Linked DNA regions of Caenorhabditis elegans. The protein of the gene in region 1 purifies or fractionates together with the protein of each later gene. This does not show direct contact. Each region holds a gene or a part of one and is shown in the gene's direction. Other genes may lie near its edges. The genes, in order: mrpl-40 and nola-3.

Region 1 (4,291 bases):
TCGATTTACCGAATCCAACATAGGACTATCGTCATTTTCCTCGTCTTCCTCATGATCAATAACCACTTCTTGGCCGACAATCATGGAATTTCCGTCTAAATTCATGTCCGAGCCGCCCATCAGCTGATAATTGGCTCCACGGCGAACATAATCCCCAAGGGAAGTCTCTTCGTCAATAATTCCGAGTCCGTGAAGGCGAGAAGCTTCTTTATCGGTTCCTGGAAGCAAAAAATCGTTTTTTCACAGATTTTTTAAAAGATTTATTACTTATTGCCGAATCATCCACACATTCCACTATCGTTTTCGGACGTTTTCGACCGCCGAGAAGCTGTTTTGTGGTGACTCGTTGCAGTGGAACCGGAGAATCTTCGTATTTTTTCGGTCGGCCCTGGAAAAAATTAAATTTTTTTTCGTTTTTCAATCAGAATCTTGAAATATCCGCCTTACCCTTGGTTTTTTATCATCTTCCTGACCTTCTGGCCGTGGATGTCTGTGTCTTTTGTGTGCACTGAGACTTCGATCGGATTTCCCGACGTATTCGCATAAATTGCACTGAAAATCGATATTTGTCGGCACATTCACCACGTCCACATCGTCCTGCTCATCGTTTTTCATCATTTTTTAGCTGAAAAATAACATTTTTCAATTTATTTCGTTAATTTCTTTGCATTTTTCCATTTAAATTCGAAAGCGAAGACGAGAGAGCATGCAAAAACGAGAGAGCGGGAGAGAAAAAGAAAAGGATAAACAATGTTTTCGGCGGCATTCGGAGCGTCGTCAGACGCGCGCTGCGAGACCCAACAGACGGGAAATGTCATGCGCCTTTGATTTTACAATTTATTTCGGCTATTTATTGCGGTTTTTTTGCAGTTTTTCGCTCAATTTTCTTCTAAAATTTGAATAATACATGATAAAAAAAAAATACATAATTTATTTCGACAGCGATTGATACATAATTTCACAAATTTACATGGATTTTTGCCACAAAATTAAAAAAAAAATAAAATAAAGAAAGCACATTTAAAGTTTATTCATTTGCTTCTCCAAATGTTCCATATCCCGCGCATCGGCTGACTTTGTGATTCTATCGAAAATAAGCTTCTGCGTCTCCTCTAACATCTTGAGTTGCTCTTTATTCTGTAAAAAATCGGCTTTTAGGTTGGAAATTTTATTTTTCTAAAAAACGTACGCTTTTCATACTGGTAGCTTGAGATAATCGGCTCTTCATGCTGCTCAGAAACTCGTCAAAGTCCGATTTGGCGGGTTTCTTGTGAATTCCAGAGTTTTTGACTTTTGGAATGGCGTTTTTCGGTTTTTTCGACGCTTTTTCGGTTTTCGATGCACTACAGTTGCTATTTGCTGAAAAAAAATTCGATTTTATTTGAAAAAAAACCTGAATTTTAATAAAAATTTGATAAAAAACTCACAATTGGCAGAAATCCCTGAAGAACTCTGCTCAGCAGCCATCATGGTCTCCTCGTCTTCGAAAATGGTTTCCATAGTGTTTTAGCTGCCAAATCCTTATTAAAACTCAAAAATTGTCAATAAAAACGCGGAAAATTGTCCGAAAATCGATTAGGGACGACGAGAGAGTGTGGGGAAGTGAGAGACGGAGCTTGTGTAGATTTACGGTGAACAACGCGTGGGGGTGGGATAGCGGAGTGTCGTTTGGGAATTTATTTTATTAAATTTTTATTGTTTTTGTTGATTTTTAGGAGGTTTCCTTGGTTTTTTCGACTATTTTCTTCAGAATTTTGATGATTTTGATGTAAAATCACTTCAAATTCCAATTTTTCCAGGTAAAATGAGCTCCAGCCTGCTTGCGAGCCTCTCCCGGCTCTCCCTACTTCAAACCCGCCAAATTCATCAAACAATTCCCGCCGGCTCCTCGGTTTTTATGAAAAGACAGAAGAAAATTGATCCGGAGGTAGAGAAAATTACAGTTACTCATTGAATAAAACGGGAAATTTAATAAAAATTGAGAAAAAATTCAAAAATTTTCCAGGTAGCAAAGCAGCGAGAGACCCGACGCAGAAAACGGCTGGAAAAGGATATTCGTCAGATGCAAAAGCACTCGAAAAAGCCGAAACCAGTGGATGAGCTCACTTTGGACGTGAAATCCGCGAAAAATATCGGGTTTTTCAGCGATTTTCTGCCTAAAAACTCGGAATTCTTACAGAGAACGCCGCCGCCCACGCACCGAGCTCACCTTGGAGCAAATTGACGAACGAGCCATCGCTCTGAAGGTAAAAATCTGAGAATTTCGCTTCAAATCCGTGGATTTTCAGGATTATACACGCTCCCGGTTGGCTTTGCAGCAGGAGGATGACGCGTGGATTCGTGGAGCCATCGAATCGCAGAGAAAAGCTCTAAATGAGCTGAAAATGCTCAAATTGGAGCTCTACGAGGCGGCTGTACAGCCAGCAGCCAAGGATTTACCGCTTATTGTTCAGGTAGCGGAGAAATTGAAGAAAAATGGTCAAAAAATTGATGAAAAACCCGAAAAACTCACGAAAATTCATTAAAATCTTAAAAATTGCTAGAAATTCGGAAAAATGCCCAAAATTTTAGAAAATGTTTAAATATTCCTGAGAAAATGTCAAAAATACCGAAATTTATTAGTAAAATCTTGAAAATTTTGCCAAAAATCTGGAAAAACCTGGAATTTTCGACTTTTTTTTTCTAAAAGTTTCAAAATTCCCAAATAATCATTCAAAAAAAAAAACTTTCTAAAAAATCTCTAAAATTTTTGCGGAAATTTTGAAAAAATTCACTAAAAAATTGAAATATCCCCGGAAATTTCGAGAAAATCCAAAAATTTCGGAAAATACACAAAAATACCGGTTTTTGCTGAAAAAGCACAGAAGTTTTGCGACAAAACCTTTAAAAATCTGTAAAATCCCCCAAAAATTTTCAAATTTTTTCTCGAAAAATTGCAAAAAATGTAAAAATTCCCCCAAATAATCCGAAAATCCAAAAAAATTACCTAAAAATCGGGAAAATTTTGAAAAATCCCTGAAAATTGTCGTAAAAATACCAAAAATTTCGCTAAAAATCTGAAAAATTGCTAGAAATTCGAAAAAAAATGCTTAAAATTTCAGAAAATGTTAAAAATTCCCAAAAAACATGTAAAATCTTGAGAAAATGTCAAAAATACCGAAATTTATTAGAAAAATCTGAAAACTCACTGACATTTTGCGAAAAATTCCGAAAATTGGTTAAAAAATTTTTTTAAAAAACCTGGAATTTTCCAAATTTTTTTTTCTAAAAATTAAAAAATTCCGAAAAATCCTTTAAAATTTCTTACAGGGACCCTCACTGACTCCGCCCATTCGAAACTACGAGGCTCCGGACGGCGACTACATTGATACTACGAGAAATTGGGCATCTTAGAGCCGAAAATTGTTGATTTTTATGTGTTTTATGGGTATTTTTGTTGTAGACAGTGACATAGGATGACGCATTAATAAAGGAATTATCGATTTTTATGGAAAAAACTAAAAATTTCAGTGAAACCGAGCTGGAAAAAATAAATTTGCCACTGCGGGGATCGAACCCAGGCCCTGTGATTGGCGGGCGAGGTCACTAGCCACTAGGCTACACGTGCAAATTTTTGGCAACTGATTATTTGGATACATGAAACTTACTGCAGCGAACTTTTTTGTCGAAGAGTGTTTGCGTACAGTAATCCTTACATTTCATAAGATTTTATTGATTTTTTCATAAATTGAGCAATTTTTTTTGACAGTTTAACATTTAAAATTAATATATAGACGGAAAATGCGATGGGGCTGGACAAGGAGCAGGCACTTTTGATGTAAAGCTTTGATAAATTGAATTTTAAAAAAATTGTTGAAAACATTAGAAAAGCAAAATCGATAAATCATAATATCATTCTCTCTAAAATCGGAATGATTTGATCAAAGTTTGGCCGACGTCCCGGGTCCTCGTTCATGCAAATGTTCATCAAACGGTTCATATTACGGGCGATTCCAGGGGGAATGTGCACTCGGAGACCTTCCAGAGCGATCTGAAATTAATAAATTTGGATTCAGCGTGAAATTTGGGTCTGGAAACGCTGATTTTGGAGGTGTAAGGGGTACTGTAACCCTAAAAGTACGCAAACACTGAATCTGACGACGACTTGCAGAAAAGCGGTGGAAAATGAGTTTTTTGAGTTTATTGAGGTAGAAAGTGACGGGAAATTCAAATTTTTTGATAAAAATTATATTTGATCAAAATTATACGAAGAAATTCGAATTTTTTGACAAAATTTCAGAAAAAAATTTTG
Region 2 (2,981 bases), on another chromosome or scaffold:
GTGCTCATTTCCTTTTGCTACTTATTTTTCTACTATGAGATCATGATCATATTGCTTTCCCCGTTTCATATTTTCTATATTTATAACGTTTCGTAATTTATAATTTTCTATATTTCAGTGGAAAATATGGGGATAGGAGCAGATGAGAAGAAGCCGTTGCTAGTACAACTCGACGGGCAATATTATGACATTGCTGATTTTGCGCCTAAACATCCGGGAGGTGCCAAGGTAACTTTTTTTCAAGTTTTAGGATATTTTACTAATCTCAAACTTTTTATAGGTTCTGAATCGTTTGGCTGGAGAAGAAATTGGAGAATTTATCAGAGGAGAAAAAAGGATAATGGGTGTACGTCATGAGCACTCGGAAGCCGCTTATAATATGCTCGAGAGATATAATGTGAATGCAATTCAAAAAGTTCGTTCCTTCCATCAAATCTAATTATTAATATTTCTAAAATTCTAGGGTGATCCATTGATTGAGTCTAAATCCGGAATGCTTTTCAAAGTTGGATCTCTTGGCTCTGAATATTGGCATTGGATTCATCAACCATATGATGGAACTTTAAGGTATTGATGATCTCGACTTTTCAATGCAAATTTTCACTTTTTTTCAGACTTTTCGATTCGGATGTGTTGGAAAGCATGACAAGAACAGCTTGGTGGGTGGTCCCTGCTGTTTGGATGCCGATCGTCATTACTTTTTCTATCCTCTCAGTGCTCTCATTTTCAACATCCACCGATGTTTATAACTCGATTCTCCTGTGGTCTGCCTGGTTCGTCATTGGAGTTTTGACATGGACTCTCACTGAATACAGTCTTCATCGATGGGTTTTCCATTGGAAGCCGTCTCCAGATTCGCCGAATCAGATTCTTCTTCATTTCTTGGCTCATGGACTTCACCATAAAACACCGATGGACGGAGACCGCCTTGTGTTCCCTCCGGTTCCAGCTACTTTGATTGTTGGAATTTTCTATTTAATCTACTCCAATACCTTCCAATGGTCAGTATTAAACCTTTCCTGGTTCCCATATTCAGTTAATCGTTTTAGGCCAGTGTTTTGCGCGTTTGGCGCTGGAAAGTTATTTGGATATGTAACCTACGATATGGTACACTATTATTTACATCACGGAAGTCCTCGTCCACGCAGCAATTTACATTTTAGAAAAGTATATCATCATAATCACCACTTCAAAAACTTTGACGTCGGTAAGTTACATTTAACGGGATTTTGTTTAAAAATCAATTTTTAATTTGTTATTTTTAAGTCAAGAACATTAAAAACTGTTTTTTAATTGAGATTTTCTATAATCTGCAAATTGTCGTGAAATATAATGTTCTCTGACGGAAAATTACACAGATTTGCGATGGAGCGCGTTTGCACTTTCATTTTCGCAATCGAAATTTTTCTATCATTTTCCCTATTTCAGGCCTATTTTCATTTTTCAGGCTTCGGAATTTCGACTTCTCTTTGGGATTATGTTTTCCACACACTCGGAATGGGCCCATTATAATAATACATAGATGTTTTTTCGGAAAATTTGTTGTTTATTGAGTGAACTCTGCCTCACGTTTTTTATCTCTAAGTCTCTTGTCCCGATTCACTTTTCTCACGATCCACTATACCCGTTGTACATATATATTTATCGATTTACCTTTTCTTTTCTCGTACGCCAGATTAGTTCAACTTGTTTTCACATTTTATCTATATAGATCAGCTACTCAGCACGTGCCTATTATCCTCACTTCTTACCGGTTTCCATCAAACATTTTGTGATATTCCTTCTTGTTTTGTTTTCTTTCTGTTATGCGTGAAATTTGGAATAATTTTTAAAAATATCTAATGAAATCACCCCTTCATTCTTTCTCGCTAATTCTTTTTTTCGTTGCAATGCGCCGTATTTATTTCATATTTCTCTATAGTTTCAGAAGTTTTAGAAATCATTGATAGTTTCAGAACTCAGTCTACTTTCAACGGACAATGTTCTTGAGATACTTCTTGGACGAGAACCAACAAAGAGTGTACACTTTGAAGAGAACTGCTCCATCTGGAGAGCAAACTCTTACCGCTCATCCAGCTCGCTTTTCGCCGGAAGACAAGAACTCCAAATATCGCATCATCATCAAGAAGCGCTTCGGACTCTTGCCAACCCAGAAGGCAAAGACCGTTTGCTAAAATGCTGGTTTGGGAGTGGCGCCGCATGTTGCGGCAAAAAATCCGCTCTTTCACCCCCAATAAACCTATCAATTATCAACAGGTAATTTACAAATCTCGCATTTTTCCAAACGATATTTTATAATTTCAGGTGTCTCGTCGTCGTATCATCGTCTCTTTTGTTCTTTTCTTCGTTGGATGGAAAGCTTTTGGTTATACTCTCAACGATATGTTCCTTTGGACTGTCGATGAGCAAACTATGCAAGGTCGCTTTTTAACTCCACAAGAAGGCAAAGATCGAAGGTTTGTGTAAATTGAAAAAATCATTGATAATATTTTCATGGTTTCAGAGAGGCCCTAGAACGACAACGAGATCCCAAGTTACGCATCAAACCCCCAATTGTTTCGAAATACGATCTTGACGACTAGCTTTTAGTCTTTTTTCCACCGTTTTCTCTTATTCTTTTTGTACTATTCTTGTTGTTTTCTTCTCATTGTTGTTGTCTCTCAAATAAAGTATGAAATGTTGAAAAAGTGAGGAATTGTATTGCAAGTTGAATCCTCATTACAAATACTTCAGGTTTAAATTAGATTTCTTCGAATTTGATTCTGTCAGGTTTACAGGGTTGATGAGTTTCAAAGATTTTTCTTTCGAGTTCAACGGAGAACCAATTCACTTTTCGATAACCTCGCATCCCGACAAAGATCTTGTGCACTTCAATTCAACAGGAAGAATCGGACAAGTAATCGAAGTTATTCAGCCACCAGAGATTCTATCTAGCCAGCTCTCCGATCAACAAAGAGTCGAATACGAGTTGAAGAGCTTGC

What was found.
Region 2: the proteins of mrpl-40 (region 1) and nola-3 fractionate together in Caenorhabditis elegans (co-fractionation; one large-scale study listed by BioGRID). This does not show direct contact.

The regions. Positions count from the first base shown.
Region 1 is NC_003281.10:85,760-90,050, forward strand, and holds mrpl-40 (Large ribosomal subunit protein mL40), read left to right. Parts: upstream 1-1,799; 5' UTR 1,800-1,804; coding exon 1,805-1,927; intron 1,928-2,005; coding exon 2,006-2,136; intron 2,137-2,179; coding exon 2,180-2,246; intron 2,247-2,288; coding exon 2,289-2,453; intron 2,454-3,309; coding exon 3,310-3,393; 3' UTR 3,394-3,484; downstream 3,485-4,291. Other genes in the region: attf-3 (C2H2-type domain-containing protein), read right to left, coding at 10-218, 268-388, 448-618; F54C4.4 (NAM-associated domain-containing protein), read right to left, coding at 1,021-1,137, 1,190-1,359, 1,428-1,500; Integrin-linked protein kinase homolog pat-4, read right to left, coding at 3,884-4,030.
Region 2 is NC_003279.8:10,177,063-10,180,043, forward strand, and holds nola-3 (Putative H/ACA ribonucleoprotein complex subunit 3), read left to right. Parts: upstream 1-1,979; coding exon 1,980-2,174; downstream 2,175-2,981. Other genes in the region: fath-1 (Fatty acid 2-hydroxylase), read left to right, coding at 127-228, 281-415, 464-567, 615-1,001, 1,050-1,207, 1,448-1,512; C25A1.16 (uncharacterized protein), read left to right, coding at 2,176-2,256, 2,305-2,456, 2,504-2,582; C25A1.20 (Proteasome assembly chaperone 3), read left to right, coding at 2,783-2,981. UniProt on the Caenorhabditis elegans protein: Required for ribosome biogenesis. Part of a complex which catalyzes pseudouridylation of rRNA. This involves the isomerization of uridine such that the ribose is subsequently attached to C5, instead of the normal N1.